6 linked regions of the Callithrix jacchus genome follow. The protein of the gene in region 1 interacts with the protein of each later gene in a pairwise test. Links are inferred from orthologs where the notes say so. Each region holds a gene or a part of one and is shown in the gene's direction. Other genes may lie near its edges.

Evidence for each region.
Region 2: the proteins of PPP1CB (region 1) and PPP1R3C interact in binary tests that used the Homo sapiens proteins (3 or more experiments, as listed by UniProt). The two-hybrid records come from large-scale screens. The link is inferred for Callithrix jacchus from reciprocal best matches to the Homo sapiens genes PPP1CB and PPP1R3C.
Region 3: the proteins of PPP1CB (region 1) and SH2D4A interact in binary tests that used the Homo sapiens proteins (3 or more experiments, as listed by UniProt). The two-hybrid records come from large-scale screens. The link is inferred for Callithrix jacchus from reciprocal best matches to the Homo sapiens genes PPP1CB and SH2D4A.
Region 4: the proteins of PPP1CB (region 1) and CSRNP2 interact in binary tests that used the Homo sapiens proteins (3 or more experiments, as listed by UniProt). The two-hybrid records come from large-scale screens. The link is inferred for Callithrix jacchus from reciprocal best matches to the Homo sapiens genes PPP1CB and CSRNP2.
Region 5: the proteins of PPP1CB (region 1) and PPP1R7 interact in binary tests that used the Homo sapiens proteins (3 or more experiments, as listed by UniProt). The link is inferred for Callithrix jacchus from reciprocal best matches to the Homo sapiens genes PPP1CB and PPP1R7.
Region 6: the proteins of PPP1CB (region 1) and PPP1R16A interact in binary tests that used the Homo sapiens proteins (3 or more experiments, as listed by UniProt). The two-hybrid records come from large-scale screens. The link is inferred for Callithrix jacchus from reciprocal best matches to the Homo sapiens genes PPP1CB and PPP1R16A.

The regions. Positions count from the first base shown.
Region 1 is NC_133515.1:86,258,310-86,261,809, reverse strand, and holds part of PPP1CB (serine/threonine-protein phosphatase PP1-beta catalytic subunit), read left to right. Parts: intron 1-1,991; coding exon 1,992-2,143; intron 2,144-3,500. UniProt on the Homo sapiens protein: Protein phosphatase that associates with over 200 regulatory proteins to form highly specific holoenzymes which dephosphorylate hundreds of biological targets.
Region 2 is NC_133513.1:84,419,308-84,423,598, reverse strand, and holds the start of PPP1R3C (protein phosphatase 1 regulatory subunit 3C), read left to right. Parts: upstream 1-1,491; 5' UTR 1,492-1,594; coding exon 1,595-1,608; intron 1,609-3,777; coding exon 3,778-4,291. Other genes in the region: uncharacterized protein LOC144578709, read right to left, coding at 1,077-1,226.
Region 3 is NC_133514.1:22,193,852-22,197,990, reverse strand, and holds the start of SH2D4A (SH2 domain-containing protein 4A), read left to right. Parts: upstream 1-1,339; 5' UTR 1,340-1,482; intron 1,483-1,641; exon of another isoform or gene 1,642-1,735; intron 1,736-4,139. UniProt on the Homo sapiens protein: Inhibits estrogen-induced cell proliferation by competing with PLCG for binding to ESR1, blocking the effect of estrogen on PLCG and repressing estrogen-induced proliferation. May play a role in T-cell development and function.
Region 4 is NC_133510.1:68,357,963-68,361,945, forward strand, and holds the start of CSRNP2 (cysteine/serine-rich nuclear protein 2), read left to right. Parts: upstream 1-1,183; 5' UTR 1,184-1,552; intron 1,553-3,983. UniProt on the Homo sapiens protein: Binds to the consensus sequence 5'-AGAGTG-3' and has transcriptional activator activity. May play a role in apoptosis.
Region 5 is NC_133507.1:162,440,723-162,444,222, forward strand, and holds part of PPP1R7 (protein phosphatase 1 regulatory subunit 7), read left to right. Parts: intron 1-989; coding exon 990-1,120; intron 1,121-2,382; coding exon 2,383-2,545; intron 2,546-3,500. UniProt on the Homo sapiens protein: Regulatory subunit of protein phosphatase 1.
Region 6 is NC_133517.1:53,155,588-53,159,638, reverse strand, and holds the start of PPP1R16A (protein phosphatase 1 regulatory subunit 16A), read left to right. Parts: upstream 1-1,251; 5' UTR 1,252-1,413; intron 1,414-4,051. UniProt on the Homo sapiens protein: Inhibits protein phosphatase 1 activity toward phosphorylase, myosin light chain and myosin substrates.

The DNA.
Region 1 (3,500 bases):
ATTCTGTTTCCTAAACCTAATTTTATACAGTTTTATTGTCACTGAAATTATGGGGGTTTTTTGTCGTTGTTTTTGGTTTTTTTTTGTTGTTATTGTTTTTGAGATGGAGCCTCCCTCTGTTGCCCAGGCTGGAGTGCAGTGGCACAATCTCGGCTCACTGCAACCTCCGCCTCCTGGGTTCAAGCGATTTTCATGCCTCAGCCTCCTGAGTAGCTGGGCCTACAGGCACATGCCACCATGCCTGGCTAGTTTTTTTTTGTATTTTTAGTAGAGATGGGGTTTCACTATATTAGCCAGGCTGGTCTCGAACTCCTGACCTCGTGATCTGCCCACATCAGCCTCCCGAAGTACTGGGATTACAGGCATGAGCCACTGCCCCTGGCCAATTATAGATTCTTAATACCTTAGCTTTCTACTCAGTGGTTCATCTCTGGAAACAGGCTGGAAAGTGTGAGAGCATTATTAAGCACTGGGTGGGTGTGTATTTTTGAAGAGTCAGCATCAATCAGAAGGGGCATACAAATTGCGATTGACTGATTCCAGTGGATTTTGTGTGCTAGTGAATTTCTTAGAACATCGTAGGGGGAGCTTGGGACATATCAGCAATAGAAATTAAGAGTACATTGCCACTAATTCTGCAAATGGTTTTATAATTCCTCTATCAGGATATGATGTAACTGAAAATGAAGATGCCCTTTCCTCCTAAACCATACTATGATTTTTATGGATTCTTTAAAATTCTTAAAACTGACTTACTCTTTAAAAAATATCTTTTCTTAGCCACTGTAATTTTTAGAAAATCACTTACTATCACCATCTCAACATTCACCCTACTTTTAATATCACTGCAATTGGACTTTTACCTACTCTCTTACACTCAATTACCAAGAAACTGCTTTCATTAAAGTCTGATGATATAATTGTAAGTGGCACATTTTTGGTCTTTGTCCTGTCTACTTGTTCATGGCACATTTCCTGCTTTTAGGCGGTTCTGTCCCCTTTAAGGATAACCTTTACTGTACTCATCTCTTTGTCTGGATCATTCCTTCCCAATATTTATGCTCATTCTCCCTAATATTTATGCTCATTCTCCCTCATCTGCCTGCCTATTAAATGTTTGAATTCCTCAAAATTAATTTACTGGTATTCTCACTTTGTATTCCCAAGGTGGTCTGGGTCCCTTCTTAAGATACCTGCTACCATTAATATGATGACAATACCCAGATAAATATTTTTAACTCTGACCTCTTTTTCAGGGCCGCAAACATTACTAAAGTCAAGGATCTGATCGGATTTTATTCCTCCACACTAAAAAAAAAAAAAAAATCCTCAGGGCCTTAGTAGAAAATGTTTTTTTTTCCTCAAGTGATCTATATGTCGAATACAATTCCATTGAAATCACAATTGAATTTTTTATGGAATTAAGCAAATCGTTTTTAGCGTTTATATGGAAGAATAAAGGATCAAAAAGTAATCAAGACAATCCTGAATTTAAAAAAAAAAAAAAAAAAAGGATACTACCCCTACCAAATATAAAGACTTGTTAAAAGCTCTAGTCTGTTATTGGCTCAGGGATAAATAAAATAGACTAACGGAATAGACTGTGGTGCTCAGAAACAGTGGAACTATAAAGAAAGGATGAACTATTGAGGAAATAACCGCTGGGTTCATTCGTTATTCATATGGAGAAACTGTACACAAAAGATGAACAGCCTTTTCCATATATTGTTGTTGTAAGTGTGCCATACACATATTTCCTATACGTGGAAAGGGTTGGAAAGTTCTACCTTAAGAGGCCATGGAAGATTATATCTGTATGGTTGCTTTCCCAAAAGTGTTAAGTTACATAGGCTGGAATATTTGGGCAAGTGATTGTCATTGTTTAGTAAAAGGTAAGAGGGCAGGAGAGGAACTGAAATGTGATGTAGATTTGCTATGTTCTATGAATCTATAAATTTTTTTCTTAATTGCTGTATTTCTGTCCTTTAAAGGTTTGCTCTGTGATTTGCTGTGGTCTGATCCAGATAAGGATGTGCAAGGCTGGGGAGAAAATGATCGTGGTGTTTCCTTTACTTTTGGAGCTGATGTAGTCAGTAAATTTCTGAATCGTCATGATTTAGATTTGATTTGTCGAGCTCATCAGGTATGAAATATGATGCTCTCAATTTCTTTTTTCTTTTTTTTAGAGACAGAGTCTCGTTCTGTTGCCCAGGCTGGAATACAGTGGCGTGATCTCTGCTCACTGCAACCTCTACCTCCCAGATTCAAGCAATTCTCGTGCCTCGGCCTCCCAAGTAGCTGGGAGCATAGGCTTGTGCCACCATACCTGTACTCTTAAACACTTATTATTTGTTAACTTCACATAAGCCCTCTTATTTTGTTTTTTGAGGAAATGTATCCAAGAAAGCTAAGTGACTTGTACAAGGAAAGCAGTAGGAGAGGCAGCAGAGCCACTTCCTGGATCTCACACTTAACAATCTAATGATTTGTTAACCTTTTATCACCCTAAAAGAGGAAACATTTCAAAACATTTGGGGCTGGGCATGGTGGCTCACATCTATAATCCCAGCACTTCAGCAGGCTGAGGTGGGCGGATTACTTAAGCACAGGAATTTGAGACAGCCTGGGCAACAAAATGAGATCCCATCTCTACAAAAAGTCAAAAATTTAGCTGGGTGTGGTGGTGCATACCTGTGGTCCCAGCTACATGAGGGGCTGAGGTAGGAGGATTGCTTGAGCCTAGGAGGTGAAGACTGCAGTGAGCCATATTTATGCCACTGCACTCCAGCCTGGGTAAAAGAGCAAGACTCAGTCTCAAAAAAAAAAAAAAAAAGAATGTATTTTTCTAGTATACAGCAACCCTAACAAAAATTGCAGTGCTTCTTAGAAGCTTTGTAGACATTATTTGGATTTTTTTTTTTTTGAGATGGAGTCTCACTTTGTCACCCAGGCTGGAGTGCAGTGGCACAATCTCGGCTCACTACAGTCTCTGCCTCCCAAGTAGCTGAGATTTCCAGCATGAGCCACTGTGCCCAGCTGGTATCAGTTATTTTAGCTGTGTCATAAACGTTATTGTTATTTAAGAAGAATGTCTGTATTTTTCCAGGAATGCATACTCAAGTGTGTAGAGGTAAAATAACATGCCTGGGATTTGCTTTAAAATCATATCAGCAGAAAGAAAAGGGGAGGGGGAAGATAAATGAAACAAGTGTAGCAAAATCCTGGTAAGTATTGAATCAGGGTGATCAGTTAATGGGAGTTAATTGAAATCTTGATCTACTTTTGTGTATGTTTAAATTTTTCATTATAAAAGCATTTATACAGTAGGGTTTTTGGTTGTCTTTTATGTCCTCCACTACTAGATAGCATACTGTCTAAGGAAGGGATTATGACTTGTTTTTGAATTTCGATTGCTTTGTACAGTGGCTCACATTGTAGCATATTGTATCATGCACACATAATGTTGAATTACTTAGAAAAGCATATTTAATTAAGTATAT
Region 2 (4,291 bases), on another chromosome or scaffold:
TGGCATAACACATAGGGTTGTGAGAACTGAATCGATAGCACACAGTGTTTAACACAGAGTAAAGGCTCAACAAGCAGCAGCTATTTTCAATATTTTAGCTCAGGCACCAGGTGTCTTGAGGTGATAGAGTAAAACCTCTATCTGAGAGATCAAGTAGAAACTTGGGAGCTAGCCAGGGTTGAACACAAGAGCTGGGTATTATGCTGAGTCTGTTCATTGGCACCACATGAAGAAATTGAGGTTAGAACTTGCCTACATTTATGTAGCTAGTGTCAATCCAAAGACCTTCCAGCTAGTTTTGGTTGAGCTAAGGGGGCTTGAAGACCTGCCATGAGTTAGACATTTCACAAATAAAACCCAGGCATGAAGTGCCTTTCCCAATGATATTCAGTGTGATCTTTTTTTTCTTCACTCTAATAACTCCACTTTAACAATTCCACTGTTTGACAGTTGTTTAAAAGACATAGGAATTTTTGTATATTTTAATTGACTAATGGATATCTCAGTAAAGCAGAACTAGGACATGGGAATAATTTAGACTTGACTTAGATAGACATTTAATTTTACGGTTGTAGATGATGATCTAAAAAAAATCCCCAAACTGAGCAAAATAATGAAACCTTAGCGAAAGTGACTGACTCAGAGGACTCATGAAACATACAGCGTGCTTTTTAAAATTGTATTTTAACATTTTGATTTCCATGCCACTCCCAGAGGACCTCAGAATTGAGTGAGGGGTTTGGGTTGACTGCTGCCTCTGACAGGCTCTATGGGTGAAAAGGGTCATTTCACTTTCGGCTTTAGTGTCCCTCTCAGGGGAGAAAATAGAATAGACAGAAATACAAAGTGTCTTTTAATTAATTCCACCTCTGTGTTTTCTGGGGCTCGTATGCTTTCCTAACGACATTTGTTAGATAAGTTGGTAATTCTTGGCAGCTGTCTACTGTGGGGTGCATCTGTGAACTCATCCTAACCAAAAGCATGCAACCAGTTTGGGGTCGCTCAGGCTAAGGTGAGGGAGAAACGCGGATACAGCGGGCAATGAACAACATAAACATTTCAAATGCGATACATACACATTCGGACTGAGCCACATCTTCTGTGTGTAGATTCAACTGCACTGACCTACAAAGCCATTCGCGAGTAACAGCCGCCCCAAGCCTGAGGCACTGGCGCCCCTCCTGGGCGAGCTGGCTGCGCTCTCTCCTGGCCCGCGCCCGCTGCATGCGGTACGTGCCTGTCCGGCCCCTGGCCCAGGGTTCCCGTTCCGCGGTTGGGTCCAGCTGGCCCGGGAGTCCCCGAACCTTCCCGGGACGCCCAGCTCGCGCTCTGCACGTCCGGCCCGGGGGCGATCACGTTCCCGGGCCGAGGGCCCGTGCCCTAGCTGGGCGCTGGTTGGTCGCGCCACGGGGTCCGAGGCCCGGCGATTGGTCCCAGGGATCGGGTCACGTGCTTCGGAGCGGATAAGTGCCGTCTCAGCGCCCGGCCTTCATTCCGTCCCAGCGATCGCCGCGGGGCAAGGCAGGTAGCTGGGGTTGAAATTTGTGCAGGCAGTGGGTGCTGGCTTTCACGGTCCGCTGCGCCTCTCTGCCTAATGAGCTGCACCAGGTAGGTTCGCTGCAACTCTGCGCGCCGGGAACACAAGGGGACGCGCAGTTGTGGGGAAGTTGAAGGGCGTTTCAGTTCTGTCATCTCTGGAAAGGGACACCCCAGGGGAGGACAAGTGGGCTGACTGCTTAGTTGAATCTGGCAACAGAGAGGCCTTGGAGGTATAGAAACTTGGCTCTATTTCTTAAGAAGAGCCTATTTTAGAAATAAGCAAATTAAAGCAGAAATGACCTTAACGTGAATCAGCTTGGGTTCGGATTTTCTCAGGGATGCGGCTGTTCTTTTGGTCCTGCACAAATGTGCCAAAGACTCGGGCAGCTAAAGTGGCGAGAACAGCACTCTGACATTGCTGGTTAGGTGGTTTAGCTTGGAGGAAAAAATTTACAGGACGATGTTTGTAGTCATTCATCCTTCTTATCACAGTTTGCCATAGCAAAATCTCAAGAGTTTGAGCAATTATTTTTAACTCTTGTCCAGGACTTAAAGTTCCAGGGAAATCACCCAATACTAAAACTGTCCTTCTATAAATGCAAAAAGTCAAAGAGAAAAAAAAACCTCCCATAAAATACTTTAAATAGCTTCTCCAGACATAGCTTAGCAGAAGACTTCTCTAAAAATCCTGCCTATTAACTATTATTAGACCCACAAATATAGCTTTAGCTTTCATTTGTTTGTTCTAAGTTTGCAAGTCTCCCAAAAAAACCCCAGAGCTAATACAGTAAATTCTGTGAGTGTTCTTTATTACTCATTTTTGTGATAATGACCACTTGCATACATGTTTAGAGCTGCTGTGAGGAGAGTTACTAAAGCCAGATTGAGAAATGTCATGTACAGTATACACACACCTCTTACGTGTAAGGCTAAGATGGGGGGAAAATCCTAATGCCATAAGCTTGGAAATATCTAATGAGGACTAAAGGCCAGAAAAAAAGTCTTCTTTATGAATGCTTCTTGGTTTAATATTGTTGAGCATGTTCATCTTTAAAAGTTTAAATAGCTTTATTGTCTTTCTACTTATAAATGCCTATTAGAAAATACCAAAAAAGAACAAAAATGAAAATAGATCATCTATAATCCTATCACCCAGAGATAATAATTATTATATTATTAGGAAAGACATATTTCCTATAGAGTTTTTCAATATTTACAAGTTCATATATATATATTGTATATCTTAAAACACTCCAACTTTCAGGTAATCAGTTTTTCCACTTAAATGTGGAATTGTCATGGGCATCTCTTTAGGTGAACTATCAATTACACACAGTTTTTAAGTGCATGAATTGTTGACTTGTATTTCAGTGGTTATTTGTGAAAAATGAGGAAGAGCATGATAAAATGCAAAGAGAATTCTTCGGCTTCTCTAGCCTTCTCACTGTCAAAACTGTTGCATGTTAATTTTATTTTTTTCAAGTGAATTACCAGAGAAGTGTCAATCAATTTAGCAGCAAAATAAACCAAAGCATCCAGAGGGAGCAGAGGGTCTGGAACTGTGGCTCCTGAACTTGTCTGGTTATTAGAATCACCTGGGAAGCTTTAAGAACATGTGCATCCCTTGGCCCTAGCCCCAGAAGTTCTGCTTCAGTGGTTCTAAGTCCCAGGATAAGGATAGAAAGAAGGAAGGAAAGGAAGGAATTCCCTAGGCATGAAGTCCCAGGAAAAGGAAGGAGGGAGGGAAGGAAGGGAGGAAGGGATTCCCTGAGGCATGAAGTCCCAGGAAAAGGAAGGAAGGAAGGAGGGAAGGAGGGAAAGAGGGAGGGAGGGAGGGAGGGAGGGAAGGAGGAGGGAACTTCCCTAGGCATGGTGACCAGACAGGTTTGAGGACCACACAATCATGTGCTCCAGAACAGAGCACATGATTCTTAAGACTGCCTTGGAGATCATCAAATAGAACACTTTTATTTCTCAGATGGGGAAACTGAGACCCCATTCCCCTCTAAGTGTTTTAAGCAATTAACACTTAGTCAGCCTTTAGCCAGCCAAAGGTAAAGGTAACCATAGAAAGAAGATCTGATCACTTAATACTGTTCTCTTTTACTACATATGACAGCACCTGCCTGATACTAGTGCACTGGCTGTCATTCAGCACAAAAATAGTACATATGCATTTGGCACTGGGGAAGAGCACTTCCGATCCAGGTGATAATCCCCCTTCCCTTTGCATTCCAGAATGATCCAGGTTTTAGATCCACGTCCTTTGACAAGTTCAGTCATGCCAGTGGATGTGGCTATGAGGCTTTGCTTGGCTCATTCACCGCCCGTGAAGAGTTTCCTGGGCCCTTACAATGACTTTCAACAAAGACATTTTGTGAATAAATTAAAGCCTCTGAAACCATGTCTCAACATAAAACAGGAAGCCAAATCACAGAACGACTGGAAGTGCTCGCACAACCAAGCCAAGAAGCGCGTTGTGTTTGCTGACTCCAAGGGCCTCTCTCTCACCGCGATCCATGTCTTCTCTGACATCCCAGAAGAACCAGCATGGGATCTCCAGTTTGATCTCTTGGACCTTAATGATATCTCCTCTGGCTTAAAACTCCATGAGGAGAAAAACTTGATTTTAGATTTCCCTCAGCCTTCAACTGATTACCTAAGTTTCCGGAACCACTTTCAGAAGAACTTTGTCTGTCTGGAGAACTGCTCTTTGCAAGAGCGAACAGTGACAGGGACTGTAAAAGTCAAA
Region 3 (4,139 bases), on another chromosome or scaffold:
ATTTAACCCTCTTAACAATGTAAGGAGGCAGGCACTCTTTATCCAGAGGAGGAAACTGAGGTACAGAGATTAATAGCACAGTGCCAGAGCTATTATAAGAAAGGACTGGTCAGGAGTTGAAGAGAGACTGGATGTGAGGAAGGTAACTGACCGTCACAGTGTCCTGTGGGATTTTTACTAAATGATAAACCACCCTGTATAGTTCTTCAACTGATCCAGCCATGCAGGGGTAGGATTCATTTGGATCTGGCCATAGCAGCTTTCCAGGGGCCAATCCCACTTCAGCCTAAAGCACCCCATAGGTTATCATTTAATCCGCAGCGGGACTAAGCCTTAGACCAGAAATTCCTCCCTAATGGGCTCCCTGGAATGGTTCCCACATAGCTGGGGGTCCTTTACTGACAATGCTGCCTGCCCTGATGCTTGATGTAACTCAGCCATATCTTCTGCAGTTGGGAGAGATGGGGAATGACATTTTGTGTTTGAACCCAGCAGGTCAGGCTCCTGAAGAGGTCAGGTAGGCTGTAGAGAGGACAACTGGTGATTACTGTTTATTACATGACACTAAGTCCCCAACACACGAAATCTGGGGTTCCCCAAAACAGACGGTGTTCTTCCACATGCTCCTCAAGGATGGAAAATGCCCTCCAGTGGAAATGCCTTTCCACTCTGCTTCTGCTGGATTTTCCTCCAAGATTTCCTCTAACTGTGGACTGCCAGCTCCTCCCTGATGTCTTCAGGCACCACCCAACCTCTGTTCTTGCTGCAATCCACAAGGCTCCTATCAACATCTTGACTTTCCCTCCAGTTTTCTTCCATTTTCTCCCCCTATGTTGACTGCGGTCTCCTTTCCCGCCTTTCTCCTTCATCTTGCCCTACAAAGCCGCACCTGAACCACAAGTGCCAGAGAGTTTGATCATTTACCTAATGTCAACAAAAGAAAAAAAAAGTAAGCTCTAGAGCCGGCTTGGCCTGAAGCACTCAAGCACAGTTAACAAGTGGGGCCAGGGCACCCTCCTACCCTCCACCTCGCAAGGAACTCAGAACTCTGAAACGGGGAAAGGGCCAGGCCTGCTGATTTAATCTATGTCCCGCAGTCTCCAAGAGGTCACAGACTGCAGATCCCAGTCTCCTGAAGTAAGAGAGGAGAGGACTACCGCAGTTGGAGGACAGCGCGAGGGCCAAGCGGCCCAAGATGCGCAGGCCACGCAGCCTCACGGACAAGTGGCCCTGGAGAGCCTCCAGGCACCCGGGTGGGGCCGCGATCGCGCTCTCAGTCACCCTAGCCTGTGGGCGCGGCAGGGCGGCGCGGGCGGGCCGGCTGCCGGAGCTGTTTGGCGTCTTGGCCTGAGTGTTTGCCCAGCCCGCCTGCGTCGCTCGGGGCGGCTCGGCCTTTCCCTCCCTCCCTTTGCCGACGGCTTCTGGCAATCAAGTGGATGTGGCGGGCGATCGGGCCACCTAGCCCAGGCGCGCCCAGCACTGGTAGGTGCTGGGGGTGGTGAGAGGCTTTGGGGAGAGAGTGCATGGGGTGGGAGTTGGGGGAAGGGAATTTCCTCCGGGCTTGCAGGGGTACCTGGGAGGTGCACGGCCCAGAGCGGGCGGGCGGAAGACTCACCCCGCCTCCACCCCTCCACGGCGCGCGGGGCGGGCTCAGGTGCGGGGCTGGGCGCCTAGCGCGGCCGCGGAGTGTCCGGTGTCCGGTGTCCGGTGTCTGGAGTCTGGAGCCGCTGGCTGGGTGAGTGGCGGTCCCCGGGGCCCGGGGACTTGCAGGGGATAGCGGGGTGAGTTCCGAGGGGGAGGGTCTAGCCCGGGCTCAGGAGACTTTTGGGGAAGTTCTGGGATCTGGCGAGGACTCGCGGCTCGTGCTTCCACCCGCGTGGAGTGCAGGCCGGGAGACGATCCGGGCTGGCCTGGAGTTTCTAGACTCCTAGCAGGAGCACAGCCCCGTCCTTCGCCCGGAGATCTTCCAAGAGGGAAGTCCTGGGAAGCGGTGGCAGCCGGCTCAGCACCCCTGCAGCGCGTTCCCTGCGTGCCGGCACCCAGGGGCGCCCCCACGTGGGGTCGGGGCGCGCGCGGAGGCACGTGCAGCGCAGCCTCCCTGGGCCTCAGACCTAGACATGGTGCCCAGTGGGCTCAACCAAGGGCGCCCCTGCCCACTGCTGGACTCGGGGGTCACGCGGGCCCCGGGAGGAGCCACAGTTTGTAGATTTTCTGAGTTGTCTCTCGCTTCCCTGGACGCTTAGAGAAGCAGCAAGCATGGAACCTCCCCTTTTCAGACAGGTGCTCCTCATTGCTGAAAGAGGCTTTTGTTTGATTGCTGTTTTAATAGAAACAACGACTTGGGTACCATTATTGTTAAATAGTGAATAAATAAGTGTAAAGTATACAGGGGCATAGATTTGGCATGAGTGGAATTTTCTAGGTATACTAAATCTGTGTGTACAGTAAACTCAAATTTCTGAAGAATAGTATATACTTGCAAAACTTGCCAAATTTCTGTCATCTCTAGTAATTTGTTTCATGGTCCAAAAACAGCCCTTGTGCTGGTAGATGCATAAGATAAAGTTTGAATAAGAAAGTAAAGTTGGACCACAGAGCTGGCTGTTTTAAAGGAATTAGAATTCAGACTGTGTTGTTAATGTATAGTTACACTGTCGGTACTACAATACTTTGTTATTTTTTATTTTATTAGGTCGGTGCAAAAGTGCGTTTTTTCATTATTGTTTTGTTTTTGTTTGTTCGTTTTTGAGACGGAGACTTGCGCTTTTTAGCTCAGTCTGGAATGCAATGGTGTGATCTTGACTCACTGCAGCCTCCGCGTCCCAGGTCCAGGTTCAAGCAATTCTCCTGCCTCAGCCTCCCAAGTAGCTGGGATTACAGGCACGTGCCACCATGCCTGGCTAATTTTTGTATTTTTAGTAGAGATGGGGCCAGCTGGTCTTGAATTCCAGACTTTGTGATCCGCCTGCCTCAGTCTCCCAAAGTGTTGGGATTACAGGCGTGAGCCACTGTGCCCGGCTGTAAATTGCAGTTTTTATGGCCAAGAAAAACAGTAACTTTTTTTTTTGCCATAAAAACTGCAATATTTTTGCACAGACCTAATATTTTTGAGACAGGGTCTCGTTCTGTCACCCAGGCTGCAGTGCAGTGTATGATCTCAGCTCACTGCAGCCTCAAACTCTGCAGCTCAAGCAATCCTCCCACTTCTGTCTCCCAAGTAGCTGGGACTATAGGTGCAGGCCACCACACCTGGCTAATTTTTATATTTTGTGTAGAGACAGGGTTTTGCCATGTTACCCAAGCTGGTCTCAAACTCCTGAGCTCAAGCAATCCACCCACCTCCACCTCCCGAAGTGTTGGGATTACAGGTGGAGCCACTGTGCCCGGCTTACTCTTTTTATGATTTAGGCTGTATCTTAGGCCTTTTAAAATTTTTATTTGTTTAGGCATCAGAGTTATCCAAAAGACAGTTGTATTAACACTGTGAAGGTGTGAGAATCAGGCCAAATCTATGGTAGCGTGGAAAACAGCTGATTCTCTCACCCTTTAGCAATTGGTGTTCAGAATAAATAGCAGGTGTGGGCTTGTTGCTTATCTTTCTCTTAAGAATGGTTTTGTGTTAGCTAGCTTTTCCTTTATTGGATCTTGAAAAACTGGAGGTTTGCTGCACTTGATATTTTATGGGAAAGTCCTTTGAATTTGAATCAGTATCAGCAATGATTATTTGTCCTTGTCAGAGAGTGAAAGTGGGAAAACCCGGTTAGTTAATTTCCTCATTTCTATTTCTTCTACCCTGGCTCTACCAGGCTCTTTCACTTCACAGTAGATTATGTCACATAAACCACATATTATGAGGAGTCACAGACTGAACTGGCCCTCATTTCACAGATGAGGAAACTGAGTCCCAAGAAGGTGAGGTGGCAGCCTAGAGTCACACTGCTCATTAGAGGCAGAGCTGGGAATTGAGGCTGAATTCCCTCTGGGTGTCTTGGATGCACTGTGCTGAGCTTGAGTTGGGGTCTGAGAAAGGCTTGGGGTGGGGGTTAGGGGATGGGAATTTAGGGGTGAGAGGGAGAGGTAATTTACACCAGCACCATTCAGCAGCTGCAGAATAACCACATCGTCAACAGCCTGACCAC
Region 4 (3,983 bases), on another chromosome or scaffold:
GCCGCATTTGCACCAAAACCTTGAAGAAGACGGCCCGGGTCATCATAGAAAAGTACTACACGCGCATGGGCAACGGCTTCCACACGAACAAGCGCGTGTGCGAGGTCGCCATTATCTCTAGCAAGAAGCTCCGCAACAAGAGAGCAGCCTATGTCACACATCTGATGAATCGGATTCAAAGAGGCCCAGTGAGAGGTATCTCCATCAAGCTGCAGGAGAGAGAAAAGAGAGACAAGTAAGTTCCTGAGGTCTCAGCCCTGGATCAGGAGATCATTGAAGTGATCTTTCTTAAAAATGGATTCTGGCCGGGCGTAGTGGTTCACGCCTGTAATCCCAGCACATTGGGAGGCCGAGGCGAGTGGGTCATGAGGTCAGGAGTTCGAGACCAGCCTGACCAACAGTGTGAAACCCTGTCTCTACTAAAAATACAAAAATTAGCCAGGCGTGGTGGCAGGCTCCAGTAATCCCAGCTATTCGGGAGGCTGAGGCAGAATTGCTTGAACCTGGGAGGCGGAGGTTGCAGTGAGCCAAGATCGCCCCACTGCACTACAGCCTGGGCGTAAGAGCGAGACTCCGTCTCGGGTTGCGGATGGGCGCGGGGAGTCATGTGTATAATCCTAGCACTTTGGGAGGCCCAGGCAGGCGGCTAGCTTGAGCCCAGAAGTGCAAGATCAGCCTGGGCAACCTGGTGAAAACCCCTTTTCTATTTAAATAAATAAATAGAATAGTTTGCAAAGTTGAGAAGATCATGGCAAAAAAATTTTTTAAAGAAAACACTCAAAGCAGTCCCTCATACAAGTATATAACTCAAGATATTGCTTGTGTTCTTTATAACTTGGGTAGGCTGCAATAAGTCATATTGCTGAAGACTAAGACCCCATGAGCAAGGAGTATATGGTCCGGCGAAAGGAAAATTGGAGGAGCTTTGGAGAAGAATTCGTTTAGTTATCTAAGATGTGTAGTTGAGAAGCTCCTCTCTTCCCCCATTAAAAGGTTGCAGCAGGGCCACCGCCTCCGGAGCAGGTTTGCCCGCCGGCTTAGGCTTTGCAGCAGTCACCGCCTACAACTCCCGACATGCCGCTGGGCGTGGGGCCGGCACGTAGACTCCATTTCCCAGCCCGCCCCGGGGCTAGGGCAGGACGTGCCGGCGCCTATAAGAGACAGAGCGCTGCGGCCGGAGCCTATTGTTAGCCGGAGCCCGGGCGGTTCTGGGCGTCTGCTGCTGGGGGCGCCAGAGTTGCCGGAGCCGCCCGGCCCTCTCTGCCTGCCGGCCGGGCTGCCCACCGCCTTCCCTCTGCGCCCTGCCGCCCAGGGAGATCCCGGGCCGTCGCCGCGGGGCCCGGGACTCGCTCGCTCCTCCCTTCTTCCCACCCGGGGTAGGGCGGCGGCGGCAGCGGGGGCGGCAGAGACCATCACCGGAGGAGGCAGCTGCGGCGGGGCCGGTAATGGGCCTAGGGGTGCGGGGCGGAGGGTGCCGCCTCGTCCTTTCTCGGGATCGGCCCTCGGGCGGCCGTGGAGGAGTGGTCAAGCCCAGAGCCGTGCGGATGGAGGGGTCAGAAATGAGAGGCTCGGACGGGAGCGGTCGGGGGGCAGGGAGGTCGGGTGCCGTTGGGAAGGAACGGCGTCGGGAAGAGGCGTGGGAGCGAGGGGCACCCAGGACGCGGGCCCGGACTGCGGGGGCAGCTCGAGGGAGACCGATGGGCGGCTTGGAAGCCTGCAGGATTGCGGATGAGGATTGAGTTCGGAATGGAGTGGAGAATGATGTAGGATGGAGGAAAGTGAAGGAAGGGGAGGGGGAACAGAGGAAAATGTGGGAGGAGTGGTTGGGAATTTGTGAGTAGCAGGCAGGAAGGGATGAGGAAGGCTGGGTAGGGGCTGCAGAGGATTGGAATGAGCGGAAAGGTTAGCGGGAATCAGAGGAAAGTGGGCCGAGAGCTGAAGGGTTCCGCAGGCGTGTTCATTAAAGGGAACTGGTGACTTGACATGTCCCTTCTCTCCGGTTCCTGATGTTTCCCATATTTCTGGCGTCGTGTAGGAAAAGGAAAGCATCGCTTCCCCTGGTTGCTAGCTTGATCTTTTTTCATAGGCCCAAACATGCAGCCAACTGCCACCCGTCCCTTTTAGTGCTGCGGTCTTGATTCATCCTTTTAAAGGGGTTGAGAGTGGCAGTGTGACACACGAACTGTTCTTCAATATGAAATGCTAGAAGTTATCCCCAAAAGACAACACTGTCCCCTTGTCCTGCAGTTTTCAGTTCAGGGTAAATCCATAGTTCCAATTTTTTCTTTCCTGGCTGTTTTGTAAATCTCCAAAGCCAGGATGTTGGTTGTGCCGGTGTGATAAATGACTGCATATCCTTGAGAGTTAATGCAGCATCATGTTCCAGTTCCCACAAAGATCTCCTGTCTTCCACACGATGGTAGTTTAGGCATGGAAAGCCAAATCCTAACCTTGTGTTAGTGAATGGGGAGTGGGGGTGGTGGGTGCACGGCTTTCTTTAAATACCTAGCTTAAATGGAGGGTTTTCATTTGAGTGCTCTCTAAGTTCATGATCCTGGTGATCACAAAGACATGGGTCCATCAAATTTATAGTATTTGAGAATCAACCACAGTATCTTGTAAAAGGGGAAACAGGGCAGGTCATTATTATTCAGGTTTATCATAACACAGCAGCAACCCTTCCTTCCTCCAACCCAGCTACAGATGGCAGCCCTGATCATAAAAAAAAAAAACAAAAAAACCCAAAACCAAGAGATTTTGGTTTCTTGACCTTTAGCAAGCAAAAGGTTGGATTCCAGTTGAGTGGAGAGGCTTTCTCCTTGTGAGATGTAGCTTATTATTTTGGACTAATTTAAGAAAGAAACTTGTATTACCTAAACTTTGCAAATACATTTTTCTAGAAAATATTGCTTGGGCCAGTCCCTCTTGCTGGTCTCACATATTCTAGGTTTTAAAAAATTTTGTTTGTTTTGGTGATTATAGGAGTCCTTATAGGCCGGAAAAAAAATTAGATCTAGTAGTAAAATACACATATGCTGGTAGCCTGTGTATACGGTGCTAACCTAATGTCTTCTGTGCTCTGGATCTTAACTATTTCATATACCATTGGGAAATGTTCAGCCAGAAACCCTTGAAAAAAGACCACAAGACATGTAGCCAGAAAGTGTCAGCTGACCTTTAATTTCACTGGGATTTAAAAGCTTTTATAGAGGGTTGCGTTGTTTTCTCCAAAAGCATTTGTTGAGTTGGTCATTTTGACAGTTAACAGTCAGTTTTCACCTGCATTCCCAGGCTATAAAACTTAGAAGTTTCTCTCTTAAACACAGATATTGATCCTCTACCAATGAATAGGTTAGAGAGGTAGGAATGACTGATTTCTAGTTGTAGTTTGAAAGATTGATTTGATGAATTGGAAAGTATGGAAACTATTTTAATTGTTACTGTTGCAAAGAAAGATTTCTTTTTAAAAAGATTTATTTAAAATTATCGTTATTTGTTATTTTTGAGACAGGGTCTGGCTCTGTCACCTAGGCTGGAGTAGAGTGGCTCGATCTCAGCTCACTGCAACCTCTGCCTCCTGGGTTCAAGCAATCCCCCCACCTTAGCCTACGGAGTAGCTGGGATGACAGGCACACACCACCATGCCCAGCTAATTTTTGTATTTTTAGTAGGCAGGGGGTGGGGTTTGCCATGTTGGCCAGATTGGTCTTGAACTCCTGGCCTCAAGTGATCTGCCCACCTTGGCCTCCCAAAGTGCTGGGCCTGCAGGCATGTGGCCCACTGCACTTGGCCAATTTCTTTAAAATACAGAGACAGGGTCTCTCTATGTTGGCCAAGTTGGTTTTGCAGTTCTGGACACAAGCAATCTTCCTGCCTCAGCCTCCCAAAGAAGGATTTCTTCGGGGCACTATGGAAGTGAACAGGAGGTTTGTTCTTGGTGCCCAGTGAACATCTTTTATCTAAAAGTCAAGTTCACATCAGAG
Region 5 (3,500 bases), on another chromosome or scaffold:
AGGACTGTCACAAGGGAACTGTGACACTCAGGAACTGTCACAAGGGAACTGTGACACTCAGGACTGTCACCAGGGAACTGTGACACTCAGGACTGTCACAAGGGAACTGTGATACTCGGGAACTGTCACCAGGGAACTGTGACACTCAGGAACTGTCACCAGGGAACTGTGACACTCAGGACTGTCACCAGGGAACTGTGACACGGGAGCTGTCACAAGGGAACTGTGACACTCGGGAGCTGTCACAAGGGAACTGTGACACTCGGGAGCTGTCACAAGGGAACTGTGACACTCGGGAGCTGTCACAAGGGAACTGTGACACTCGGGAGCTGTCACAAGGGAACTGTGACACTCACCTATGGGATGTGGATGAGTCCCGAACTGAGCAATTAGTCCTAAGTTGTGGTCCTTGTCCCAGCCTGTGGGAGGTGGGGCTGGCTCCACCTTGTGGAAGTCTTTCTCTACTGGAAGCATAGTGGGTGTGAGACAGCAGTCAAGGGACTTGAGGCCTGGCCCTGGGGTAATCACTGCTGAGCTCTGGCGGCCAGGGAATCCTGACTCTGGCCTGCCTCATTTCTGCGCCTGTGTTCAGTTAAGCCCTCACCGAATCTTACGGCCCTCAGTGCATCTCATTTGAATTTGTTTCTCAAAATCAAGCCCACTAAGGACTTTAAGGCTCTGCCAAGAGTGGTACATATCCACGCCCCAGGCCAATGCCTCCCTCCCTAACTAGGCCTCTTGGTGTGGGGCCTGCCTCTGCCTCCTGCCTCCCTTTGGGTTCCTGCTCATCCTTAGGGTGTGTGGAGGAATTCTAGCCTAGTGCCCTTGCCCACCTGCCTCCCAAAGGTCAGCGCCTTTCTCGGAAACAGCAGAAGAATAAAGACACATCCTTCCACCAGAAAGGCCTGTCCTGTGTCCTCCAGCACCAGCTGAGGCCTTCTCATGGCCTCCCCCTTGCCTGTGTCAATTGTCCTTTTCCCATCCCCCAGACTCTCTGCCTCCGCCAAAATTTAATTAAATGCATTGAGAATCTGGAGGAGCTACAGAGTCTTCGAGAGCTGGATCTTTACGACAACCAGATCAAGAAGATTGAGAATCTGGAGGCGCTAACAGAGCTGGAGTGAGTCATGAGACCCATAGGAGAAGGTGGTGGGGAGGCCACTGGATGGGGGGTGTCCAGTCTCTCCAGAGCCAACCCCCTGCTGGCTCTTGGCCCTTGAGAGGCTGCCTCTGCCACAGGGTCCTGCCCTGCATGCGAATCCCAGGCCTTTGCCTGCCATATTCAGGGATCCAGGAGGCCGAGTCAGCTTCATGCATGTCTTCACCTTCTTGGACAATCCTGACTTGCAAAGTACATCTCCGGTGGGAAGGCTGCAGTGGGACTTCTGGAAAGCCTCCATTCAGGGATGATACTGAGATTGGTAGAGGAGAACGTTAATCCAAAATTTCCTGTTACCTTTTGAATTTTTTTTTTTAATTAAGAAAAGTGACATTTCTAATATAAGGAGTCAGGTCCTCAGCCAGGTGCAGTGGTGCACACCTGTAATTGCAGCACTTTGGGAGGCCACATTGGGAGGATCACTTGAACCCAGAAGTTTGACATAGCCTGGGCAACATAACAAGACCCCGTCTACAAAAATTAAAATTAAAAAAGGAGCCAGATCCTAGTTATAACTTTACCTGGATTTCTGCGCCTTTGTTGCTCATTATTTTTGTTTGTTTTGTTTCTAATTCAGTACATATCAGGTCCCTTGTGTGTGCAGAGCCTGGTGCTGGAGGTCTCGTCACGGGCACAAATGTGAATGAAACACAGTTTCTGCTTCAGATACCATGCTGGGAGCCAGGGCATCAGGAGCCTGTAGGCTGCCACTGGCTTGCTCTGGGCTCCTGGGCAGCCTCCAAATCTCTCATGATAGCATCAGTGTGGGCCAGACACTAGCAGGGGCACAGTCAGACCCCCACCCCCGCAGTGACTGCAGTCACCTGATGGGGATGCCACTTCTAAGGTGGTGTGAGTTCTATGCAACCTATGCTCTTGTAATTTTTTTTTTTTTTTTTTTGAGACAAGGTTTTGCTCTTGTTGCCCAGGCTGGAGTATAATGGCACAATCTCGGCTCACCACAACCTCTGCCTACCTGGTTCAAGCAGTTCTCCTGCCTCAGCCTCCCAGGTAGCTTGGATTACAGGAATGTGCCACCACTCCTAGCTAATTTTGTATTTTTAGTAGAGATGGGGTTTCTCTGTGTTGGCCAGGCTGGTCTTGAACTCCAGACCTCAGGTAATCCACCTGCCTCAGCATCCCAAAGTGCTGCGATTACAGGTGTGAGCCACTGTGCCTGGCCACTTATGTAAATTTTTTTTAACTGTTTTGCTTGTTCTCAGGATTCTAGATATTTCTTTTAATCTGCTGAGAAACATCGAAGGGGTTGACAAGTTAACACAACTGAAAAAACTCTTCTTGGTCAACAATAAAATCAGCAAAATTGAGAACTTAAGCAACTTACATCAACTACAGATGCTAGAGCTGGGATCTAACCGCATCCGGGTAGGTGTGGGAGAGGCAGCTAACGGGCTATGTAGGGGCTCAGTGGGTGTATGTAGAGTGCATGCTGAGCTTCATTTGTCTTCCGCTGTGATTTTTTCATGAACAGGGAAATTATCATTTTTAAAGAAATGCTAACTGGAAGTCAGTATTAGTAAGCCCTAACTGAGTGGTCTAGCCTTTCTTCTGCACATAGATTTCAGTTGCTCTTCATCCAAATCATGATCCTAAATCACACCATTCCCAGTTACATTCTGCCGGCGATGAACCAACCTACTGAACGCCTTGCTCTTGACCCCACTCATGGTGACCTCTGCAGTGCTTCTTTGGGATGAAAGCTTCCCAAGCCCAGCAGAGTGGTCACTTGAAGTGAACTGACATACACACCAGGGGCTTTAGAAAGTGTCTTGATGGTGACACACTCCCGAAGGCAGTGCTGAAGTGGGCCTTTCTCCCTACGCAGCTTCATACTCCTGGGACACAGTCCCCAACAGGGTTAGGTCTGTTCTCCAGGATCCATTTGACCTTGAAAACCTGGGACACAATGGAAATAAGAGACTTTTGAAAGGTGATCTGCTGTTCCACAGAAGCAGGAGTGAGCCTTCATCAGCTGACTCATCGCCACCGTCATGTGCTGGAGGGGAACCTGGGAGGGTGTCCCAGAAGGACTGCCACTGGGGATGGATCTGCCAGGCAGAGAGGAGGGAGGGTTCCCATGGGCAGGGAGGAGGACTTCTGTCAGCTAGAAGAGCATTGGAGCCCCATGCCCAGCTCCTAATAGGGGTCATGGCACAGAGCCTGTGCTTCCCTTGGCCTTGCTTAGTGGCTCCGGCAGGTGTTTCTGAGCACGTCTGCCCCTGCCCCATGTTCCCAGATGCCCCTCTGTTTGGCTTCGGGAAGTATTACAGCATGCTATGTCTGTCCTGGGCCCTTGAGAGCTTGGACAGGATACAAACCA
Region 6 (4,051 bases), on another chromosome or scaffold:
CCCTAGCCATCTGATCAGCGTCTCTGCCCCTCCGTCCGAGCAAGGCTGGTGTTAGGTACTCTGCCCCAAATCCCAGGTTCTCTTCCCTCACAAGGGGCAAGTTTGCCCAAGAGGACAGTAGCTCTGGGCACTAGCAGCAGGGGTTGGTGCTGGCAGCAGAGCTAAGGGCCCCTGGACACATGGGGGCCCAGGAATACGCTTTTGCTCTCTCTGAGAATTCAGCTTTTCTTGTTCAGCCCTCACCATGATCACCTCAAAAGGCTGAAAATCTGAAGTATATGGTGGAGCCCAGCCCATCCCAAGGTGTGGAGGGGAGGGACTGGCAGCGGGTGTCCTGGAGGAGGAGCCTGGGCTGGACCGAGCCTTTTCTGTGGGGTGCCACCCTTTTCCCTCTATCTCCGCCACACCCCTCGGACCTCTTGTTGTTTCCCTCAGGACTCCGGTTATCACCTCGACGCTGAGGCCTTCTCTGGTGTGTTCCCTAGGCTAAGGTTGCAAAGTCCTGAATCTCGGGAGGCGAAATACTCGTGGCCTCTTACCCCATTCGGTCAGCAAGGCGTCGTTCTTTCCCACAAGTCTTTGTTGTTGTTTTGAGACAAGGTCTCGCTCCATTGCCCAGGCTGGAGTGCAGTAGTGTCATCTGGGCTCAGTGCAGCCTCCACCTCCTGGGCTCAAGCGATCCTCCCGCCTAAGCCTCCCGGGACTACAGGTGTGCGCCATAGCGCCCGGCTAATTTCTCACTTTTTGGTAGGGACAAGGCCTCCCTGTGTTGCCCAGGTTGGTCTCCTGGGCTCAAGCGACCCACCGGCCTCAGCCTCCTCCCAAAGTGCTGGGATCACAGACGTGAGCCACCTCGCTGGGCCTTTCCCTTAAGTCTTAAGGAACCCCTCTCCACTGGCGCCTCCTTGGTGGGGCGCTGGAGGCTCCCCAAGTTCCGACCGCTCCTCTCCGACCTCAGTGTCCCGGGCTGAAACACCCCCAAAACTGCCACTCATTCCGCCGGCGTCCATCCGGTTGCCAACGATGACTCGTTTTTTTTCCACCACAGTCCCAGGAGCCTTTGAGCGCTCGCCGTCTCACCCAAGGCCCGAGGAGGTCGCAGCCGCAGAAGGATCGCCTGGCCGCCCGCAGCGGACCCCGGCAGCCGCATCCCCTGATCGTCCCTCCTCAGGCACCGCCCCTGATGTCCCTCCCCAGACCCCGCCCCCGATGTCCCTCCCCCCCAGTCCCCGCCCCCGGCTCCCACGGGGCACTGCGGCTTCCGGCTACAGGTAATGCGGGCCGGAAGTGTAGCGTTGCCATGGCGAGGGCCGGGCGCGGGGCCCGCCCCCGCAGCACCTTTGGGAGCGCGGGGCCCACTGACCCGCGGAAGCCAGCGGACCCACTTGCGCGGCGGCCGGTGCGGGGCGCGAGGTGAGGCGCGGAGTCCCGGGTCCTGTGACGAGAGCGGAGCGAGGGAGAGGGTCCCCGGCTGGGCACAGCGGAAGAATGGGCACTGGGTCGACATCGAGAGAGGGGGCCGGGCCGGGGAAGGATGAGGCTCAGGGGAGGGAGGGAGGAGGAAGCCCAGGGGAGAGAGGAGGCTGCGGAGGGAGGAGGCCAGGGAGGGGCCCTCGGGAGACGCGGCTGCCGTCACGCGGGCGCCCAGGGCACAGGTCCCACCTGGCCGCCTTGGGCGTTGCTGGCTGAGTCCCACGGCAGCAGGTGCCAAGGGACAGGAAAGGCTGGGAGCTGGAGGCTGCTTCGCATTTTGTTCCAAGGTAAAGGTGTGTGGATTCTCCGCAGCCTGCCGGTCAAGTAGACAACTCCGGAATTATCTACATTTTCAGATCAGGAAATCAAGGCCACAGAGAAGGGACTTACCCAAGCTTTGTGGGGGCTTTGGAGCTAGGCTGAAGGAGAAAGTGGAGTCTCTCTGAAGGAAGTTCCTTCAGCTTTCGGGGATTAAAGTGACCTCACTTGCAGTGCTGGGCACCCGGGCCACCCCTCAGGAAATGGGATCAGGGCAAGAATTAACTAAGCAAGCACCCCGCCTGGGAAGGAGTGTCCAGGACTGGTGTGGGCCCCTGTCTGTATCAGAGCGGAGGCCCCGGGCACGACGGGATTAATTTCCATGGGTGCAGAGACGGGTGTGTACAGAGTCACTCTAGGCTTAGGGGAGCCAGAGCAAAGCTGGCCCTCCCCAAAGCTCTGTGCCTTCCTTTTCATCCTGTATCCCTACTTGGGGGTGGAAGTGGAGGCGGGGGTACCGCTGCCTTTTTCAAAGCGTGTCTAGCTCAGCAGTGAGCCCTCCTGGGCGTCTTGGTGCCCCAGTTGCTTCCTGGTCATATTGGGCTTTCCCTGGGAAAAGGGTCTTGCCTGCAGTACCCTGGGCCTCCTGAAGAGGCCTTTGGCAGCGCTGCCTGATTCACCTCGGGGATCCAGAGCCACGACTGTCCCAGAGGAGCTCAGGCGGCGTGGGGCTGGGTTGCCTGAGGAGCTGGGGGCTGCCTAGTAGACCTGCACACCGGCTGACTCCATGCGTGTCCCTGTGGTGGACCTTCAGAGCTCTGCAGGGCTAGCTGCCTGCCCCTGCCCCAAGTCTCCCAGCCTTGAGATGGGATGGTGGAGGCCTTAGGGGTCCTTTCCCCTCCTGGTGTTTGAGCTGGATTTCCTCCCTGTTGGTTGGGACCATCCCTCCTGTCTCTTGATTGCCCTGTCCTGGCCTTATCCCTCACCTGCTTGGGATGTATCTGCACTCCATTTTGCCCCGAGGGTTGCCTGGGTTAGCAAGTACCTAGCAAGGGGGCTCCTCCTGTATGTCTTCACTTTGGGGGTCTATGTCCTGGGGGTTCTTGAACCTCTGGTCTAAATAAGCAGCCAATTGATACAACTCTCCACTGCCTGTAGCTTAGGAACCTCAGTCTCAGCTGATCCCACAGATTACACCAGACCCCCAGCTCCACCCTTGTTCTGCCCCCAGTGTGTCCTGCCCTAGCACTGTGCCACATCTATTCGTTCGCAAAAATGAAAACTGGGTGGCAGTTCCAGGTTCTTCTCTCTCTCATGCCGAGGCTCTGCTGGCACTGGTGCACGCACACCTAAGTGAGGCCTTTTCATCAGACTTGCTCAGCTATGAGCTCAGAGCCTCCCATGTCACATCTGGTGCTGGGACCCCTGGACCACAGGCTCAGCAGCTGTTCACCTGTTCAGCCCATTGCAGTTACTGAGTGTGAGTGCTTCCTGTGAGTCAGGTTCTGAGGATGCAGCAGGTAAACAAACAGTAAGTGACGTGTCAAGAATTAAAACAGGGCAATGAGGTAAGAGAATAACAAGGTAACCACAGAAGAACTCTGAGGAGGTCACACTTCAGATGTTATCTAAGTCCCAAGAAGGAACACGCTATCCTAAGATCTGGTGGAAGAACTTTCCAGACAGAAGGAGCAGCTGATGAAGGTGGGGGTGATGATGAAGCTGGTAGCACCAAATAAATGTGTTAGATCAGGGGTTGGCCAGCTTCTTCTGTCAAGGGCTAGGTAGTAAACATCTTAGGCTTTGCTAACCATGTGCTTTCTGACTTTTTGTTTGTTTGAGATTGAGGCTCATTCTGTTGCCCGGACTGGAGTGTAGTGCGCGATCTCCGCTCACTGTAACCTCTGTCTCCTGGGTTCAAATGATTCTCCTGCCTCGGCCTCCCCAGTAACTGGGATTATAGGTGCATGCCACCATGCCAGCTAATTTTTTATCTGTTTTCTATTTTTTGAGACAGAGTCTCGCTCTGTCACCAGGCTGGAGTGCAGTGTCACAATCTCAGGCCATTTCAACCTCTGTCTCCCAGGTTCAAGCGATTCTTCTGCCTTAGCCTCCCTAGTAGCTGGGACGACAGGCGTGTGTCACCACGCCCAGCTAATTTTTGTACTTTTAGTAGAGATGGGGTTTCACCATGTTGGCCAGGGCGGTCTTGAACTCCTGGCCTTGTGATCCACCCTCCTCGGCCTCCCAAAGTGCTGGGATTACAGGTGTGAGCCACCTCACCCGACCTCCTTTTTCTTTTTGATATGGAGTCTCCCTC